Linked DNA regions of Diceros bicornis minor. The protein of the gene in region 1 interacts with the protein of each later gene in a biochemical or structural test. Links are inferred from orthologs where the notes say so. Each region holds a gene or a part of one and is shown on either strand. Other genes may lie near its edges.

What was found.
Region 2: the proteins of PLAU (region 1) and plasma serine protease inhibitor-like form a complex in vitro, tested with the Homo sapiens proteins (2 studies listed by BioGRID). The link is inferred for Diceros bicornis minor from reciprocal best matches to the Homo sapiens genes PLAU and SERPINA5.

Annotation. Positions count from the first base shown.
Region 1 is NC_080745.1:32,781,317-32,792,097, reverse strand, and holds the start of PLAU (urokinase-type plasminogen activator), read left to right. Parts: upstream 1-6,722; 5' UTR 6,723-6,826; intron 6,827-7,155; 5' UTR 7,156-7,186; coding exon 7,187-7,243; intron 7,244-7,694; coding exon 7,695-7,728; intron 7,729-7,878; coding exon 7,879-7,986; intron 7,987-8,317; coding exon 8,318-8,492; intron 8,493-8,681; coding exon 8,682-8,773; intron 8,774-8,960; coding exon 8,961-9,180; intron 9,181-9,388; coding exon 9,389-9,537; intron 9,538-10,126; coding exon 10,127-10,267; intron 10,268-10,616; coding exon 10,617-10,765; intron 10,766-10,781. UniProt on the Homo sapiens protein: Specifically cleaves the zymogen plasminogen to form the active enzyme plasmin.
Region 2 is NC_080763.1:40,250,633-40,261,004, forward strand, and holds plasma serine protease inhibitor-like, read left to right. Parts: upstream 1-5,410; coding exon 5,411-6,029; intron 6,030-7,721; coding exon 7,722-7,992; intron 7,993-8,381; coding exon 8,382-8,529; intron 8,530-9,194; coding exon 9,195-9,383; 3' UTR 9,384-10,240; downstream 10,241-10,372. UniProt on the Homo sapiens protein: Heparin-dependent serine protease inhibitor acting in body fluids and secretions. Inactivates serine proteases by binding irreversibly to their serine activation site. Involved in the regulation of intravascular and extravascular proteolytic activities.

The DNA.
Region 1 (10,781 bases):
TGTGAATGGCGATAGCAGATGGTCCACTTTCATTCTTTTGCATGTGGCTGTCCAGTTTTCCCAACACCATTTATTGAAGAGATTTTCCTTTCTCTGTTGTATGTTCTTAGCTCCTTTGTCGAAAATTAGCTGTCCGTATATGTGTGGTTTTATTTCTGGGCTTTCAATTCTATAATTCTATGTTTTTTAAACCTTCAATCCAGGTGATTCTTATCAGCAGACAAGGTTGGAAAACATAACATTAGTGAATAATTATTATTACAGATTCCTGGGCACCTACTCAACAGGGTATTTTTTTTTCTCAAGAAGGGATAAAGAGACAATACTATCATAGTGATTATCAACACAGGCTTTGGAGTCAGAAAGCTGAGTTTGATCTACCAGGTATTGGCTTGGCTGTGTGACTTTAACCTCTCAGAGCCTCCATTTCCTTATCCATAAAGTGGGGAAGATATTGCATCTCCCTCATTGAGGATTAAATGACATAATGCATACAGAATTGTTACCCAATGCCTGTGAAATAAAATGCATGCTCAGTAAATAGATGCTACTGTTATTTTACCACAGAAAAACCCCAGGGTATCTCCATTATATAAATACGGGTAAATAATGGTTGTGAAAAAGGAAGACTGGACATTGATGGTTCCAGGGATCCATAAAGATATATAAACACAGCCAGAAGACCCAAAGATCACTTCTCTGACCAGACTCAGCAGACACAACTGTGGCTGGCCATATTAAGCAAAAGGAAAAACATTTTTATCAAATGTTTTTTTGATAAACATTTGGCTTGAGCTGGGTAGGCAGGAACCAACACAGACATGACTTGGGCAGCTGGGGCTACGCTGGGGTGGCACCGTGGATTAGAAGTAGGAAGAGTTCCAGGTATAAGGACAAGCACCCCCACCTTCCTGACTGAATGTCATACTGCCTCAGAGATAGTTCTCCAAACCCTGGAATCAACCAGGTCTTGATATGGGTCCCAACTCTACCATTTACATATAGTGTTACCTTGGGTAAACTGCTTATACTCTGTGAGCCTCAGTTTTCTCATCCATAAAATAGTGATATTAATAGTACCGTCCTTGGGCCGGCCCCGTGGCTTAGTGGTTAAGTGCGTGTACTCAGCTGCTGGTGGGCCCGGGTTCGGATCCCGGGCACGCACCGACACACTGCTTTTCCGGCCATGCTAAGGCCGCGTCCCACATACTAGAAGGATGTGCAGCTATGACATACAACTATCTACTGGGGCTTAGGGGGAAAATAAATAAATAAATAAAATTATTTTTTAAAAAAATAGTACTGTCCCTAAAGGTTGTTGCTAAGATTGAAAAAGAAAATGAATGTAAAACAAATAAAGGTCGGCTGTTATTATCTATCTTTAACAAAGGGTAGATTATAATATCCCCTTGGAGAGAATAGACTTCCTCTTCTTTAGTTCCTGTCACACTTCCCATCATCACTGCTGGTAGAGCAAACAGGAGTCTCCTGGTTCCATTACCTTCTCACTCTGCATATGCACCATCTCAGGGGCTCCCTGCTATGTTCCTGCTCCTTCTTCCCACAGACTTCCACACATTTTGTCCTATAGTACCTTCCTTTTCTTTTTTTTAGTGAGGAAGATTGTCCCTGAGCTAACATCTGTGCCAATCTCCCTCTATTTTGTATGTGGAATGCCGCCTCATCATGGCTTGATGAGCGCTGTGTAGGTCCATGCCCAGGATCTGAGCCCACAAATCCCGGGCCGCCAAAGCAGAGCGCATGAACTTAACCACTATGCCATCAGGGTGGCCCCCTATAGTACCTTCTAATAGGAGACTGACTTCTCCCCAGGACTTGGCTGCCTCATTACACTGTTATCAATCACTGCTTGGAGAAAAGAGGCACCTTCTGCAAGTGGGTAGGAAGACACAGAAACTGAGGATGGGGGTTGAAGGTGGTCAGGAAGGGAGGAGTAAGGATTCAGAATAGGAGGGGACAGGGTGAAAATGTGTCATGAGGTTCCTCAAAAGTCGGTGAATTCTGAATCCCATCATTTTCAGTGAATGAATTCAGATGATTCACTTCCCTTCATTAGTCTTCTATTTCCTTCTCTGTGTAATGGAAAGGGAACTGCTGGCACTTGCTTTAAAGACAGAGAAGCATATAGAATCCAGCTTAGGAGGGCCATAAGCACATGAAATTATACATCATATGGGCTATGGATATTATCTTGGTTTTCTTCTGAACAATATTTTTGAGTATATCAGCTCCCGGCTGCATTTATTTCTCTAAACGTCATTGACTTTTTGGCAGTTTTCGGCAAACCCACCAGTTTCTGGTTTCCCATCCCAGCCCTCTGTTCCTCCGTATCCCACTTAGCTTCCAGTTAAGCAGCCATTGCCATCTAACATGGTAACCTGGGCTCTAAGCAGAAGTTCTAGGACCAGGGCCTAGCTTTGGTTCCTGGTGAGGGAGTCAGAATCCAGAAGGTCTGGAAAGCCATGACCAACACTCCTTGAAGGCAATAAGTTCTTGACTTAGGAAGTAACTGGGTTTAAGTTAGAGACAAAGAAAAAATTTGACCAAGGCTCAAAATATTCATGCAGAAGTCTGAGCTGACTGGCCTGGGTGGGGCTAGGAATTGGGCCAGAGATGGTGAAGCAGGAAAGGGCGAGGAAGGGTAGGGGGTCATAGGCTGAAGTTGGAGGGACCAACTTGGTCCCTCTGTTCATAGTGCTACTGACGACAAAGTATAACCTCAGGGTGCAGCCCCTGGGCTCTTTGCTTTCCATGAGTAAGGAAGCAAGAATGTGGCTTCCCCGCCCCACTCTTTCCACAGGCCACTGGGGGCCTAGAAGTTCCAGCACCTCCCCTATCATGTTACGGTCCCAAGACGTGGCTTTCAGTGCCTGCTGTGACGACAGCATCTTTGCCCTTAACACTAAACACGCAGGGAGAAGGAGTCTTCAGATCCAAGGAAGCTATGTGATCAGCAATTAGCATCTCCTTCCCAGAACTGCAGAGGAGTCCATCTGCCCCCGTGTAAGAAAGAGAGAAGAGCTTCAGGCCGCAGACAACAGAGAGGAGTGGGAGGAAGTGGGAGTTAGGGCTGTGGGGGCGAGCAGCACATGCAGCTGGCCAGTTGCTGGGAACTGCTAGCTAAGGACATAGCATCCCCACTTGGCTGGAATTCTGGGATGGATTCCAGAATGGCGTGGTCTTCTGGGCTGGTACAGCCATAGTCAGGAAGGCAAGGGAGGCACTCAGGGTAGGAATTATAGTTTCCAAAGTTCGTCCTATCTCTAGCGTCTAGATCTGTGCCTGGCACACAGTAGATCCGTGATAAATACTGGATGAATGAATAATGGGGTGAATGAATGCTTTCACACACAAGCATGATCTCATTCAGTCCTCAAAGTGAGGCACAGGCAGGGCAGGCATTGCCTCATTTTATGGTTGGAGAACTGAGACCAAGAGAGTTAAGTGTCTTGCCTAAGGTCATTCAACTTAGATGTGTCAGACCTGAGGCTAGACACTGTGCTCTTTCTATACCCAAGCTGAACCTTCTTGGTACAGCAATCCAGGAATACATCCTACGACTTGACGTGAACTTCCTTTGGGGTTCTGCTGGTCAGAAAATAGCCCTTCAGGAGCCCAGTTACCTGGACACAGTCTCAGGGCCAAGTTCGGACATCCTGGTCCCCTTGCACATCTGGCATCTGCCTGCCCCTTTATGAACAGCTTCAGGAAAGGGGGCCCCTCCATTAGTCTCTGCTGACTCAGGAGATCTGGACTCCTGAGACACAGAGGCAGGGAGCTGGTGGCTTTACTCTGGGAGTCAGGAAAGAATGAAATCATACACATTCAGTTCCTTATTCTTTTATCCTTGATAGAAACTTCAGATAGCCTAGACCACCAAGTTAGGTCCTGCAACTCAGATGAGCAAGTAACTCATATTACAGCAAGGCCCTCCCAGGAGCTCAGAGCCCATAGCCTGAGGAGTGTTTCTGGAAGTTCTCAAAAGCCAGTAAGATGGCTCTCCGAGCTGGAACATCTTACATCATCTGGCCCATCTCTTCACAGCATTCTGTCTTGTACCTCTCTCTTGTGGAGGCAGGGAGGCATAGAGCAATGGAATGAAAATCTGGGTGCTGGCTTTGCCGCTCGTCAACTGTGTATCTTCTGTCCACCTCATTGTCCTCATCTGCAAAATGGGAATAACAATTCTCAGCTACATCACAAAGAAGTTGTGAGTTTAAAGGAGAATAGTTTATATCAAAGTGCTTTTTAGCACAAGACAGAAACGATGCCGGTACTATTTTTTATGGCAAGGAAAAAAAGACAGAGAGAGGCGGGAAACTTCTGGGGTGCCCCAAAGCTCTCTGTTTCCACTTGTTCCTGATTCATTTATAATAAAGCACCTGCGTGAACAAGGCACACACCAAGTGCTGAGGGAGAGACAAAGGTATTTAAGATGTGGTCTATGCCCTCCAAGAACCGAAAGACTAGCACAGACTGTGCACCAAAGGACAGACACAGAGATTTCAGAGAGCGCCAAAGATCACAGAGTGAAAAGGAAGTTCTGTGAAGAGTTAGAGGCTCTAGGATTGTTCAACCAGGTGAAGAGGCAGCAGGGGGAAGGAGGGGGAAGAGGATGTCACGCTGCATAACGGTCTCCAAGCCTCTTTGACAGGGAGGAAATGAGGTCATCCTACTCTTGAGATTCAGCATGACAGCCTCCAGCCAAGTAATCTGGAGTCATGAGAGCTGCTGGGGAGCTGTGTGATTCACGAGACAGTTTGCTGGGAATTTCCTGATAACTAACCTAAGAGTTTCAGGGTAAGTCCTCAGGCTGCAACATCTCTGTTTACATTTTGATCATGTTTATTTACAATTAATGTATTCTAAATCTAAACAAAACATGTCCCGGTCTTCTAGAGGAAGTAGTGAGGCCAGCTCCGAGGCCTGTAGCTCCTCTGACTTAGTCCATCCCTGGGGAGGCTGGCAGCTCAGCCGGGCACAGAAAAGCTCTCTCTGGAGGACTATGGGTCACCTGCCTCGTGACAGCTGGAAAGTTAACTTGCACTTTCCCCAGGCAGAGACTGGCATCCTGAGACCTTGGGCTGGAGCAGAGCAAAGAGTCTTTCCTCCTTCCTACCTTCCTGGCACTCTCCCTGCCCTTGTCCTGCCCCATTCAAGTGGTCCCAGACCCAGTCCAGGTTTGCTAGGCAGCAAAATGCTGTAGGCCTAGGTGGGGAGAGGGACCAAGCCTTGGGCCTGGCCTTGAACCTCTAGAGAGTTATAGGGACTCAGCCCCCTCCTCTCCCATTAGGGGAGACAGCCCTGCTAGGTGGAATTGACCCCAAGCCCTGGTTCCAACACTAGGGGAAAGGGATGCGGGTGACCCAACCTTGGAGTCCCTGCTGTGCTCCTTCAACTGTGCCTGAGGGATATGTGCGTGTGCATGTGTGTGTGCATGTGCTTGTGTACACAAGTGTGTGCGCTCACCATCAGGCAGGAAGAACGGGTAGAGTCCTTTACACATGGTCTGTCTTTCTGGAGGCCCACCTTATTTGATAAGCAATTATTTAACCTTATTAGAAACAAGGCTGTATGATGAAGTAGAATACTAAATACATGTGCATTCAGAACTCTGTAATCATCTTTTTGGAATGGGTGATATAAGGATGTGTTTTCAAAAATTTAAATAGCGTAAAAGGGCATACAGTGAAAAACAAATCTTCTCATTTTTGTCCTCCAGTTCCCCAATTCCTCTCTTCAGAGGTGAAAACAGAACTTCCTACCCCTCCACAGTTTACTGTATACATTAATAAGGCTTTACTATTCCATTGTCTTTATCAACTAACTATACTCCAGCCCAAGCAAATAGATGGATTGTTCATTGTAGGAACTTCCTGAAAGACCCATCAACACTTCAACAGAAAGCATCAACAGTTTGTGCCCTAAGACCTCGTTCTCACAATCCTACAATATTATATCATGATCCTTATCCAATCCTTATCAGGCCCTCACTTTCAAAGACCACCCTTAAAACAAACTGCAAATTCTCCATGAAATCCGACCTTACCTCCCCTCTCTCGTTCCCCACTACCAAAATCCCTAAATTCAGTAAGCAATAAACTCAGCTTTGTCTTATCCGCTGGTTGTGTTGAAGATTTGAGGGGAGCCGGCACTCGACAGAAGCAGCCCCTGTTAGCAGGTTTTTTGTCTGTGTTTCAGCGAGTGCGTGTCACGTGCATTTTCACGTTGAGAAAGAGAACTCATAGCTATATGAGCTGCGGACCCTGCCCCTATATATCCAGGGGTCTGAATCAGTCTCCCAGGCAGTTGGCGGTCGAGTGTGAAAAGGCTGGAGAACAGCTGATTTAGGGGATCCTGGAGGAGGTATCAGAGCTGTACCGGGACAAAGTCCCGGCAGCGCCTCTCCTCTCTGCACCTCGGGGCCTGGCACTGGGGCGGGGCCCAGGCCAGATGAATGGGATGAGCTGGGATGAGCGGGCTGCGAATTTAGATGCCTCTAGATCCCACAATTCAGACCTCGCATGTCTCCTCCCCTGGGGACCACGCTGCCCCACACTCTCAGTCATGGCTGGGGAAGCACGCGGGGTCCAGGTCGCGGGGCGGGCTCCGGGAAGGGGAGGGAAGGGAGTGGAAAGGGCGATCCTGGGCTGGGGCGGGGCCAGGCTGGGGCGAGTCCTAATATAGAGTCCGCGCAGCTGGCTAGCAGCACAGCGCAGAGACTGGAGCCCCGGAGCCCGGCTAAGTGTCAGTGTCAACCTGTGCCCGCCATCCCGGCTCCGCAGCCCTCCTGCCACAGCCGCCGGTGAGTGCGCGCCGCCCTAGGAGCGCGGGGCGAATGCGCGGCGGCCCCGTCCGCTGGCTTCCCTTCCCCCTACCCCGGCTGCTCCGGCTCGGCTGCGGCCGCGGCTGAGTCACCGCTCCCCGTGTCCATGCGTCTCCCCCCGGATGCCGGTCCAGGCTGCGCCGGGACCCCTGAGGCCCGAGAAAGGAAAGACGGCCGGGCCTGGGGAGCCTGGTCACCGCGGGCTCGCCTCACAGGGGACCTAGGGGCTTCTGCCCTGAACTGCAGTAACCACCCGGGCCGCTTTCTCGCTCCTCCGCTTCTTCCCCTGACTTCTCCTTTCCTTGCAGAGCCGCTGTCTAGAGCCTCAGCCTCGCCACCATGAGAGTCCTGCTGGCTTGCCTGCTCCTCTGTGTCCTGGTCGTGAGCGACTCTGAAGTGAGTGGCTTCTCTGCTTTGACTTATGGCGGCGGGGTTTGCTGAACCCCTGAACAGCGCCAGGGGAAGGAAGGGGCTGCATAGGGAACTGGAGTCCTCCGAATTCCATGAACAGCAGGGCCAGACCCTCCCAGGAAAATAGGACAAGTGTGGCAATGGGGGCCTTGAGAACCAAGGGAGTTCTCACTTGCCGGCAAAGGAGGAAAAACCGCAGGGACTGCCCCAGCCTGCTGGCACCTGATATGTGAAGCTTGCTTGAGTCAATCCATTTCTCCCTGCTGGAAATCTATGATCTTCCATTTGAGGGCCAGTTAGATATGAACAGAGTGAGGAGAGAGGGAGCTGGTGGGAAGGGTGAGTTTTGGGATTGGGGCCAGTTTATCCACACCCTGGAATCCCAGGAGCGTGGGACCTTCAGTGAACTTTCCCCCTCCCCTCCCCTCTCTTCCAGGGCAGCCATAAACTTCATGGAGCGTCCAGTGCATGTGAGTATCCACCCCTTGCATAATATCTGGCTGCACAGACATCTTGAAAAAGACTCAGGGGGCAGCCCCTCCCTGACCCTGCTGCAGGGCTGGCTTCCCCCTTGCTTCTTCCCACACTCCTTGCTTACCCCCCACCTTTGTGCTCTGCAGCAAACTGTGGCTGTCTGAATGGAGGAACATGTGTGTCCTACAAGTTCTTCTCCAACATTCAGCGGTGCAACTGCCCAAAGAAATTCCAAGGGGAACACTGTGAAATAGGTATGGGGATCCTGATTCTAAGTGGGGAGGAGGGGGCACCAGAGATTTTGTGGCAGGGAGAGATGGGTGGGATGCAAGAGCAGGCAGGAGTTAAGAGCTGGAGGTGGAGTGGGGGACATCTTCATCCCTATGTGATGTACACAGTCAAACATAAACACACACTGTCTCATGAATCTGTGGCTGCACAAATGTGAGATGGAGATGGAAGGAGACACTTTTCTAGTGTCTTCTGCCAAGGTTTAAATCATGCGGTGTTTGGCAGGATCTCTAAAATGCCTGTCTGAACTTCCTCCTTATTCTAATATTTTCTCATCCTCACATTCTTCTGTAGATACATCAAAAACCTGTTATGAGGGGAATGGTCGCTCTTACCGAGGGAAGGCCAAAACTGACATCAGGGGCCGGCCCTGCCTGGAGTGGAACTCTCCCGCAGTCCTTATGAAAACATATCATGCCCACAGACCTGATGCCCTTCAGCTGGGCCTGGGGAAACACAATTACTGCAGGTGAGGTGGGGGCAGCAAGGACCCTCCCCATGGCCTCACAGAAACCCTTGTTACCATCCCCTTCTGCTTCCAGAGTGCTGGCCACAGCATGAGAAAAGCAAGGCCTCTAGTTGAGTCTTCCCTGCAGGGGAGGATGCAGGAAAGGCATTCTGGGTTGGTATGACACCCCCTTCCACTCTGTGTTGCTAGGAACCCAGACAACCAGAGAAGGCCCTGGTGCTATGTGCAGGTTGGCCTAAACCAGCTTGTCCAAGAGTGCATGGTGCAGGACTGCTCTTTTGGTGAGTGTCACTGACCTGTTTATGATGGTAGGGTGGAAGGGGACAAACTCGTACAGCCCCTCATTCCATCATAGGAGGGATGAGGAAGGAGCCTGCCAGGCCTTGAAAAACTGGGAGGTCAGAGGACAAGGAGAGGGGCACTTTATCCTACCTGCCTCCCCAAGACATCCCTCTTTTTCTCCTTCAGGAAAAAGTACCCCCTCTCCTCCGGAAAAAGCAGAATTTCAATGTGGTCAGAAGGCTCTGAGGCCCCGCTTTAAGATTGTTGGGGGAGAATTCACCACCATCGAGAACCAGCCCTGGTTTGCGGCCATCTATAAGAGGCACCGCGGAGGCTCTGTCACTTACTTGTGCGGCGGCAGCCTCATCAGTCCTTGCTGGGTGGTCAGCGCCACACACTGCTTCATGTACGTCCCCCCGTCTCTTCTCTCTGACCCTCCTGCCCTACCCCGAACACATCCCTTTCTCTTTCCCAGCGAAAGGTTCCACTTCAGTTCTCAGCCCCTCTCCGTGCAGCCCATGGCCTTGGGAACAAGTCATGCTCTGAGGTGGTGTGGAGGGGAAGTGACAGGATCTCATGAGATCAGACTGTCTGACAGGTCTTCCCTCCCACAGTAATCACCCAAAGAAAGAGGACTACACTGTCTACCTGGGTCGGTCAAGTCTTAACTCCGAGACGCCTGGGGAGATGAAGTTTGAGGTGGAAAAGCTCATCTTGCATGAGGGCTATAGTGCTGACACACTTGCTCACCACAATGATATCGGTGAGTGGAAAACCCTCAACTGCCATAATAAGGATGGTTAGGGGAAGTGGGGTCCAAGAAGAGACTCAGGTGGGAGGTTGAGGTTGTAGGGGAACTTGAAGACCCTGCTTTATACAACAAAGGGAGTGATGGAGAAGGATTCAGAGTGACACATATGAGGTGCCTGGTGCTCCTCTGTAGAGTTCCTGAATTTCCAAACAGATAACCTCCTCTGGGTGGCAGTGGCCCCTTGGGCATATGGCTTGGGCTGGAATGCCCCTTCCTTTGTTGAATGCAGCCTCTGTCTGTCCCAGGATATAGAAGTTGGAGAGAGCATTGGGCTGGATTTTAGCCCAGCTACCTCAGCCAGGGGTTTTTGCAGAAAAAAACCCATACAGTTGTATGTGTCAGCCCTGGGTGTCCCAGCCTTTGTAGGAGCTGGGACAAAGCCCTCGAGGCATGGGACAGGGGAGGCTTCTTTTGGGTGACAAGCTATCAGCAGATCTCCCAGGATGAGCCCTGACCCTAATTGACCTAGGGATAGAAAGCCACTCCCTCAGCATTTGGTGGGGAGAGATGGTGACCACCTGACCCCTTGCCCCTCCCCCAGCCTTGCTGAAGATCAGTTCCAGCTCGGGCCAGTGTGCACAGCCATCCCGGTCCATACAGACCATCTGCCTGCCCCCACCATATGGCGATGACCATTTTGGCACAAACTGTGAGATCACTGGCTTTGGAAAAGAGACTTCCAGTAAGTGATATTTGGGGCTGCCTGAGGGTCTTGGGGGAGTGTTGTAACCTAGAAGTGAGCTCAGCTTGATCAAGGGAGGACTGTGGAGATAGAGACGGGAGCATCGTGGAGGCAGCAGATGGGTCCAGGGATGCAGTGGGGAACATTGTTTAGAAAATGATGGATCATAAAGGTAAATAGATGGGGGGTGAGGGGCTATAGATGGGGTAAAGGCTCAGATTTGGGTGGAAAAAGAATAAGGGCTTTCTCTGGTAGGGACACTTTTTGGTCCCCTCCCTGGCAGAAAATCCCAGTGGGAGGGCTAGACAGATACATCTTTACATAAATTCCCCCTGTTTCTTCCATCTAGCTGGCTATCTCTATCCAGAACAGCTGAAAATGACTGTTGTGAAGCTGGTTTCCCACCAGGAGTGTCAGCAGCCCCACTACTACGGCTCTGAAGTCACCACCAAAATGCTGTGTGCTGCTGACCCTCATTGGGAAACAGATTCCTGCCAGGTGAGAGTTCCAAGCA
Region 2 (10,372 bases), on another chromosome or scaffold:
TGGGGCATCAGACACTGTTTGGACGTTTGTTAAATAAACAAAACATAGGCATAAAATGAGTGGAATTTTCAGTTTTTCTAAGGATGGGGCCCTTGGCAAGAAATATAACAATAAAAGAGAAACTGCTCCCCTGGGCCAACATCCTCATTCATTCACAGGTCAAGAAACCGCAGCATGAGGAATAAGGAGGGCGGGCGGACGGGGGGTAAGAAAGAGGGTGATGGCTGTGTTGATGGTGGGGATGGTTTCACGGGTGTGTATGTAGCTTGAAACTTATCAAGTTGTATGCATTAAATATGAGCGGCTCTTTGTATGTGAGTCATATCTCAATACAGTGGTTTTAAAAAAGAAAAAGAGAGAAAGAAGCTGAGCAGCAGTGGAGGAGTCATTCAAGGTCCACGGATGAGTTAGCCCCAGGGCCAAGAGAGCTCAGCTCTGGATGCTCAGCCCGGCTCATTCCCACCACGCCATGTCTGGCGTGTGCTCTGACACCTCTGAATCACAGAGGAGGAGACAGAGGTCCATTCATTCATACATTCGTTTATTCCACAAAGGTAGAATCAACTTCCTTGACTTGGAAGTCTCGCAGCCGGGAGCAGGCCAGATGAGGGTCCTCTCTGTTATGAGCGTGTATTCTAGTGGGAGGGAGGCCGGAACAAAAGAAGGCAACCACAAATGCAGAAGTAATTGCACTGCTGTAATTGACGGAGCCAGAGAGGAACGATCAAGGGAATGTTAGAGAGATAATGGTGGAGAGGAAGGGGCCAGGCGTGGACAGGGTATCCCCAAGAAGTGACATTTCAACAGAGGCTTGAAGCCAACGGAGAAGCTGGCCTTGGAGAGAAAGGCAGAGAGACGTTTCCAGCAGAAAGAGCAGAATGTGCAAGGGCCCAGGGCTGGGACAGGGCTGACTGTGTTGGAGGAATTGAAAAAAGGAGTGTGCTCAGAGGACACACCTGATTGAGGGCGGAGCAGGTCAGGATGAGGCTGGTGAGAGCCAGACAGAGCCAGACCACATGGAGCCTCGGTTATCGCACAAATCAGTTAGATTTTATCTCAAAGGAATGAGCGGAATCACGTTCTTAGGAAGGGGAGCACCATGACCATGTTTGTGTATCACAGAGATTCTTCCAGACGCTGGATGTAAAATGGTTCTCAGGGGCAGGAGGAGCAATGGGGTGGTCCAGGAGAAAGACAGAAGGGGCTTCCATCAGGATGGTGGCAGGGAAAATGGGGAGAGGCAGGCAGATTGAAGACATATTTTAGAGCTGGAAACCAACAAGTCCCGCCGATGGTCTGGAGATGGGAAGGGAGGTTAAGAAAGTTTCGTAGGTCACTGATCCCAGGAAGCTCTGCCCCCAACGTCTTTAGGATCTGGGGAAGTTGTGGTTTTTGTCTTTTCCTCTCTGCCTGGGCCCCTAGACTGACATCTCCTCTTGTAATGAGCAGAGAGTGGACAGACCCTCCTCAGCTGTGCGCCTCTCACAACTGAGTCCAAAGTCGACCCGCTGGGACTCTGTTGCTTAATGTTTAGAATAAACGTCAGCAGATTTTGGGTCTGTGGATGTTGAGGATCAGTGGGAGGGCTGCCCAGGGCCTGCCCACCTCCTGCCTCCTCAGGTCTCTTTGCCCTGGGGTGCCAGATGGGCTTGATAGATCTGCTCTCTTCCCTCTGACATGTGGGGGCATCTCTGCAGAAACACCCCAGGAGAGGGTCAGCCAGGCCAGGCTCTGCCACCACGCAGTGGGGCTGGTCTCCTAAGTGCCTGAAGCAGACTCACGCCGGCTCAAAGTTGGCACAAAACTCTGTCAAATCTGTGTGTGTCCACCAGAGGCCCAGGAGTGTGCTGGCAAAGCCTGAGCTTTGAAACTAGGAAACCTGAAATGAGCACCCCAAGGCCTCCACTTTCTCAGAAGTGACGTCTCTGACTCTCTGTTTCCTCTTCTGTACAGTTATGATAACGATACCAACTCCATGTTGCTGTGGAGGAGTGTAAACGAGCTAATACAGGTGACCAGCCTGGGAGAGACCCAGGGATATGTAGCAGGAGCTACAGGGGAGGAGGAACAAGGTCATTCCTCAGGGCCGTAAAAGGGACCAAAGAGGCAGCACTACATCAGTCCGAGGAATCTGGATTTTAATCCTGCTTCCATCACTCACTGGCTAGGACAAGCTATTCCGTTTTACTAAGCCTCAGTTTATTCAGCTGTAAAACGGACTGAACCTTGAGAGTTGCCTTCCTGGAGGCCTGCTTGCTTTCGGTAAAGCTGAAATGTAGTAATATTTATAGAATGTATAATAGGTCCTTAATAAATAGTAATGAGAGAGAGAGAGTGAGCCCAAATGGAGCAAGACTTCTTGGTCCCCAGCCTGCAGCCCAGGGGACCCTGAGTGAAGCTGCAGCTCTCTCCAAGGAGACCCTGCTATCCTGGAGACTCAGTGGCACTTGGAGAAGTGGCTCTGGCCTGTCAGATCTCTGGGGTTCAAGGGGGTGGGGACAGTGGCAGGGGGGAAGGTTACTGGACAGAACATGTGACAGACCTCCAGTTGTTTGTGAAGAAACAGAGGCCTGAGAGGGGAAGGGCCTGCCCCAAGGTCACCAGGAGGGCTGCATGGATGGGAGGCTGGGAGCCAGAACCCTCCCTCCTGCACCCCAGTCAGCTGCCTCTGGGCTCCGTCCACACAGGAAACTCCCTCTGCCTCTGTAGCTGTTCTTTGAAAGGGTTCCTTTTAAGGGAATTATCTGATGGTGCTAACACTTTGGGGGAGGGACCACAGTGTGCTGTAAAACAGACTAGTTGAAAGGACATAGAGAGTCCCCCACCCACCCACGTCCTTGAAAGACCTCCAGGAAGGCAACTCTCAAGGTGGGAACAAAAAGGGAGTTTTTGTTCAAAAAACAAAAAGCATGGGAAGCCAGACAGGGTTTCTTCATTATCTGCAGGTTAAGGGCTATGAGTGGCAGCTGCTGAGGCAGGGAATACAAGATTGGGAGGCCGAGACCCAGAAGAGCAAGACTAGGGATCTGGGGAAACTGATGGTACAGCGGTTTAGAGTGTGGGCATTGAGGGCAGAACCGGGTCTGAGCCCAAGCTTCGCCACTATTAGCATGTGACTCGACCTCTCTGAGCCTCAGATTACTCATCTGTGAAATGGAGCTAGTAATAGAACCTGCCTCCGTCGGGGGGCGTGAGGCTAAAGGAGTTGATATGTGTCAAGACAGCACAGCACCTCCCAGCGGGCGCCGGCGATGCGCCTGGGCCTCCCACGGGCACGGTGATTGCTGAGGCTGCTGTATTCAGTGCTGGGTAGCCAGAGGTTCTGCAGACAGAACATTCTAAAGGAGCCTCCTTTGTGAGCTCAGGTGCAGTTTGGAGGCCAGGGGCGGTGAGTGCGACCTGCTCGAGTCCCTCGATTTCGCTCACAGGCAGGATTGCAGCCCAGGTCCCCTGACTCCCAAGCTCATTGGCATGTCATGTCCCTCCCTCCCTCCCCCACCATGGGCCACTCTGCAAGCAATGTACAATGCAGCTGTTTGCAGCCCTTTGGAGTTTGGTTTTGCCTGGGTCACGTGACTCCGTGGCCGTGCTCACGCTGGGGCTGGGAGACCTGATGACATTGTGTCCATGGGGGAGAACGCTCAGCTGGAGGGGAAGATCTGAGCAAGAGCTTTCATCAGAACTCAGGCCATCGGCAGCCTTGGAGTTAGTTACCCGGCCAACACTGGGCTCCCATGAGAACGAGTGTGTGAAAGCACGTACCCCACTGTACGGCTGAGGAAATGGGGTGCTCAAATGGGGGGACAAGTGGGCCCTGGCCAGACACTGCCACACCGACAGCTCCTGCTTCCACAGCACCAGGTCTGCACCAGGCGCCGTTCCAAGCACTTTACCTACATTGACTCCTTAAAGTCTCCACTCCCCCCTCACCCCCAGTGCAGGCACTGTGTTACCTCCGTTGAACAGGTAGGGGACAGAGGACGGGGTGTAACTGACTTGCCCCAAATCACACTTGGAGTGAGTAGCAGGGCCGAGATTTGAACCCAGGCGGCTGGGCTGCAGTCTGGGCTAGTCACAGCGGGTGGAAGGAGGTCTTTGGGAGGCCTGGGTGCAGGAAAGGTTTCCGGTTGGAGAGGAGGGGTCTGGGTAGATGGACATGAGGGAGGAAGAGGAGGAGGGACTGAAGGTGGAGGACGAGGCCGGAATGATGGAAGACCCCACCTGAGAGATGTAGAGAGAAAGAAGGCGAGGGCTCTTGTCTGGGGGAGGGAAAGGAGAGATGTCTTAGCGCACTCGGGCCGCTGTGACAGAGCACCACTGTCCAGGGGCTCAAGCAACAGACATTTATCGCCTCTCCCTTCTGGAGGCTGGAAGTCTGAGATGAAGGTGTCAGCAGGGCTCGTTTCTTCTGAGACCTCCCTCCTTGGCTTGCAGATGGCCACCTTCTCCTCCCTGTGTCCTCACACGTCTTCCCTCTGTGTCTGCCTGTGCCCTGATCTCCTCTTCTTATAAGGACACCAGTCGTATTGGCTTAGGGCCCATCCATATGACCTCATTTTAGCCTAACTACCTCTTTAAAGACCCTATTTCCAGATATAGTCACATTCCAAGGTACTGGGGTTAGGGCTTCAACATTTGAATTGGGGACACAATTCAGCCCATCACAGAAGAGGAGAGAAGTGGAGGTGCACACGTTAAGAGGGCAGAATTTCCTCAGGAAGAGAAGGTGCCTCTGATGAGGGACAACGGTGGCCTTGCAGGGTCCTGGAGCCGTCCCTGGGAGAAGGAGAAGGGACCGTCTCTCAGGAGCCTAGCACCCTGCCTGCCTTGTAGCAGATGCTCAATATATATTTGCTGAGTGAACAAGGGCAAATCCAGCAGTGCTGGGGGTCCACAGCGGGTAGTTGGTCTGAGTTCTCAGAAAGCCCACCAGGCCTTGCCAAATGCTGCACTTGAGGACCAAAGCGAGGGTTAGAGCCACACGTGGAAGCAGGCTGCTAATCCAGTAACCACAGAGATGCTGACCAGGCAGAACATGGAGAACCTCCCAGCTCCATGTCCCATCCCCTGTCACGTGTACCTTGATGTGGGTGAGAGGGGAGGATTCTTGCCCTGGTGGCCAGTCCCTGCCTTGGATCTGCTCCCCTCTGCCTTCTCCTTCCTCTCCCCACCGTTAGATATCCATGTCCCCAAACCTCATCCTGCAGCCCCTTCTGCCCTCCTTAAGCCCTCACTCCCAGCTTCACTGGTCGTCTTTTCCCTCTGATGCTGCATTTTGAGCCGTGAAATCTCTCTGGAACATCGGTCTTACACGCTTCCTCCTGATCTTCTCTCTGGGCAGACACGCTGGCCCCACACCCTCTCTGAGCACATCTTCCCACTCTCCATTTCAGAACAAGGGGCCGCCACAATGCAGCTCAACCTCCTCTTGTGCCTGGTGCTCCTCAGCCCGCTGGTGGCCACCCTCCACCGCCACCGCTCCCGTGAGACAAAGAAGAGAGGCAAGGAGCTGCCACCTGTAGTTACCACGGTGGCCCCCCACACCGGAGACTTTGCCTTCGACCTCTACAGGGCCTTGGCTGCAGCTGCCCCCAACCAGAACATCTTCTTCTCTCCTCTGAGCATCTCCATGACGCTGGCCATGATCTCCCTTGGGGCTCGGTCCAACACAAAGGCACAGATCCTGCAGGGCCTGGGTCTCAACCTCCAGGGGGGCCCGGAGGAAGAGCTCCACAGTGCATTCCAGCAGTTGCTACAGGAGCTCAGCCGGCCCAAAGAAGGCCTCCAGCTGAGCCTTGGCAATGCCCTCTTCATCAACCCCACGGTGCACATCCAGGACACCTTCCTGAATGCCATGAGGACACTGTACCTGGCAGACACTATCCCCACGAACTTTGGGGACCCCGTAGGGGCCCAGAAGCAGATCAATGATTACGTGGCAAAGGAAACTAAAGGCAAGATTGCAGACTTGGTTAAGGACCTGGACAGCACTGAGATTATGGTTATGGTGAATTACATTTTCTTTAAAGGTAAGACCCTTGGGCTCGAGCCTGAACTTCCTCTCTCCTTCCAACTGCTTTTGTCAAAAGAATACCCAATTCTCGCACACATGGAGGAGGAGGAGTAAATTCAGTCCTTTCTGGTGCCTGTTGATAACAGTGAGGCCAACAATCAGCCGTGATAAGACGGCGCCTTCTCACTGGGTAAGGAGATGCTTATGACCCCAGGGTTGCTGTTTCCTCCACTGGGGAAGGGCTGAGTCCTGTCTTCGGGACCCTGGGGACACCTGAAGCCACAGCATCCACTCAGGTTCTGAAGCATGAGTTCCTCATGGCCAAGGTGCCAAAGAAACCAACACCACAGCTACTCAGGCCAGGACTGTCGGCCTTCGATGGGCTTTCAAGGGCATTTCTCAGCTGCTCCCCTGGGCCTCAGACCCTCTCCCCCATACCCTCCTAGGGGCTGTTTCCTAGGCCGAGAAATCCAGGGATGAGAGCCTGTTCCTCTGAATAGCCTCCTCTCCCCTCCTCAAGAACCCATCTCCATCTTTATCTCCCTGGGGTTTCATGTAAATATCTCTACTCATCTCCAGCTCCCAAGTCAACTTCTCCTTCTAGATGCTGAACCCCTCAGCGCCCTGTGTGGGGTCTGGCTGAGGATGGGAAGAAGAGGAAAGCAGAGTGGATGAAGAGAGGAGGAGAGGAGAGGGAAGGGGAGGGGAGGGGATGAACAGGGAGAGGGGGTGGGGAAAAGGGGATGAAAGGGGAAGGAGGCAGCGAGAGAGGAGAGAGGAGGTGATGGAAGGGGAGATGGGAGGGGGGCAAGGAAGGGGGAGGGGATGGAAGGGGATGAAAGGGGGAGGAGAGAGGGAGAAGGGAAGGGATGGAAGGGGAGGGAGAAGGAGGGGAGGGGAGAGGAGGGGAAGGTAGAGGAGGGGAGGGGGAGGGGGAGGGACAGGGGCAGGAGGGGGAGGGGGGAAGGAGAGAGAAAGAGGAAGGAAGGAGGAAAATAGTGAAATTGTTAGCCACCTCCCCCACTTCCTGGTCACAGATGGTGAATATCAAGCTTGGATTCTAAGATTTCCTGTCCCATAGCCCAGGGCTCTCTCCATTACACCAGGCTGCAGAGGACAGCTGTGAAATCAGCTAAGTGAGGTATTGGGAGGGGGTCCATATTTGATAGCTATTAAGAAGATGGAAACAATTACTTGTATCGCTTTGATCAAAAAGTCCCGTAGGAAGCAGACAGAGCAGGAAGTGTAACTGAAGACTTCCTAGCAAGAAAAATCATGTATTTCCAGGAACCTTACAAAGCTCTCCTCCAAACCTAGACCAAATCCAATGTTGGGAAAAGAGTGAAAAACAGAGTAAGTCACCCAGATACAGTGTAGCTTTGTCAGCCATCCGTATTTTTATCCTCTTTACTTGGATATTTGACCTCAAGTAACATCAGAGCCTCAAACAAACATTAGAGGTTAAGGGCCTCTAAAAACTTGAAAACCAGCCTTCTTGTTTTGCAAATGTGGATGGAAAAGCCCCGTAAACAGTTCCAGTGTGCCCCAAAGTTATAAGGGGCTTGCCTTCCTGGTCACAGTGTTCTCCAGTCACTGCCAGCAGCCAGACTGCTCCAAAGAGGATGATCTCTGCTTAATAGGTTTACTGTCTCCACACTTGTCATTTGCAGCTGAGAAGTTCTCATTTCTTTTCCATTTTAATCTTCAGCTAAGTGGGAGACAAGCTTTGACCACAAAAGCACCCAAGAGCAGGACTTCCATGTGACCTCGGAGATGGTGGTGCGGGTGCCCATGATGAGACACGAGGAGCAGTATTACTACCTCCTGGATCGAAACCTCTCCTGCAGGGTGGTGGGGATCCCCTACCAAGGGAATGCCACAGCCTTGTTCATTCTCCCCAGCGAGGGCAGGATGGGGCAGGTGGAGAACGGACTGAACAAGAAAATCCTGAGGAAGTGGCTCAAGATGTTCATAAAGAGGTATTCTTCAGACTACCCCGGGGCCAGCCTAACCCTACACACCCCCAGAGAGACACATGTCTCCCTAGGGCCACACAGCAGTGGTGGGAAGGACTCATCCAGCCCAGGAGCTGCCTCCAAGCCCAGAGGCATCATGTGAAGTCCCAGACCCCAGGCCTGGCCCTGCTGGACGGAGCAGGGCTGGAAGACATGACCAAGTTTCCTGGTGGTGCCATCAGAATGGGCAGTGACCTCTGGGGACAGCGTAGGTCCAAGTCCAGGGTAGGATGGGCTCCACTCTAGGCAAGGGGCTGGAGGATCATTATGAAGCCAAGGAGAGATAGAAGGAATATGAGCTCAGTGTGCCGATGCTCTAGAAGAGTCTAAGAAAGGCCCTCCTCTCTTTCCAGGCAGTTAGAGCTTTACCTTCCAAAGTTCTCCATTGAGGGCTCCTATCAGCTGGAAAAAGTTCTCCCCAAACTGGGGATCAGTGATGTCTTCACCTCCCATGCCAACCTAAGTGGCATTAGCAACCATTCCAACATCCAGGTGTCCGAGGTGAGCCCAGAAGCTTCTGCGCACCTGCTTTCAGAGATGGCTATTCTATTCTATTCTATTCTATTCTATTCTATTCTATTCTATTCTATTCTATTCTATTCTATTCTGTTCTGTTCTGTTCTGTTCTACTCTACTCTACTCTACTGTACTCTACTCTACTCTATTCTATTCTATTCTATTCTATTCCATTCCATTCCTCATTCCATATTCTCTTTCTCTTTCTTCTTTTCCCTCAAGAAGCAAAGGTTTCACTTCCTGTCTTATCCTTTGTGCAATGGGAAGCCATATCCAGCACTGTGTCTTGGGGGAAGGAGTCTGTCTTAAACAATCAGAACTAAGAATTGGGTCTTAGCTCCTTCACTCACTAGCTGTGTGACCTCCAACAATTATTTGACCTCTCTGAGCCTCCTTTCTCTCTCTAAAATTGGAGAGTCACACCCTTGCTGCGAGAAGTCATGAGGATTCAATAAAAGACACGTGTGCACTCCCCTCCAAGCACAGTGCCTGGGGCACAGTAACTGTTCACTTGTGCATTTCCTACCTGCTTCGTGGCTCAGTTGCATGGAGACTTTGATGGTGATGTTGCCGGCAGAAGCTTTGTCATTTCCTATGATGGCGTCTCCCAGCCCCTGGTGGCTCGGTGACACCTGGTGTCTCCCCTGCAGATGGTGCACAAAGCCGTGGTGGAGGTGGACGAGTCGGGAACCAAGGCAGCTGCAGCCACAGGGGCAATATTTACGTTCAGGTCGGCCCGAATGAGCCCTCTAAGGATAGTGTTCAACAAGCCCTTTCTGATGCTCATTGTGGAGAACATGGAGAACATCCTCTTCCTTGGCAAAGTGACCCACCCCTGAGGTGGAGATCTCTCCTGAAAGGCCACAGGCCTCCACAGTGGAAGATGAGGGTGCACTAAGGCCATCTATCTCCTGGGAGCTAGGGATTTATACACACCTTTAGTTGGCTAATGAGGCTTTCACAAATAATAATAATAACATTGATATACTGATGATGGTTTCTTTTCACACAATTGCAAGACATGAGTGCCTTGAAGAACACTGGAGAACATTGGCTCTTGCCCTCACCTTTCATCAATGGAGATTAGCACTGAGGGCCGGAAAGGTTGGTTGACTTGCCCAGGGTCACACAGCTTAGTGGCAAAGAGAAGCCCAGAATCCAGGCTCCTGATGCTCAGCCCCGTGTCCCACAAGGCCCCGGAGGAGGATTGTTCCCGTAGACATTTCCACCAGGAAGCAAATTTCCAAGCCTAGTCCTCCACTTGTCAGCAATATCAGCTATTAATTCATCATGGTTTGGAAAGAACACTGGAATGGGAGTCTGGAATGGGGCTTCTGTCCCAGCAAACCAGCTGTGTGACACTGGGGCAATACTGTCCCTCTGGACTTTGGTTTTCCCACGTATACAATGAAGGAGCAGGTCAAGGATTGAAGGATCCTTGAAATCATATAAAAGTCTGGGGTGTTGCCTGTCAATTACAGTTGATTTCAATACATTCAAGTGCCACTCATCCTTTAAGAAAAGCAAGTGGACAGCAGAGTGGACTAGCCCATCACAGGATTAGGTTACAATCTCACCGGCTCAGTTCGGGGTGGAACAATGGAGGCCTGTTGCAAATAGCAGAGTATCAGTTGAAGACACTCATCACTAACTGTGAATTTTAGTGTCAGGAATAACAATAAAGCATTTTGCAAGCACTGGGTGTCGTTGTCCACATAGAAGTAGCTCTGGGAATGGTGACATTAACAGCTTACCATGTTCCAGGGCTGCTGCTAGAACTTCACCTGGAGGGTTGCAACCTGCAGGTTGCAGCTCTGTTGACTGAAAC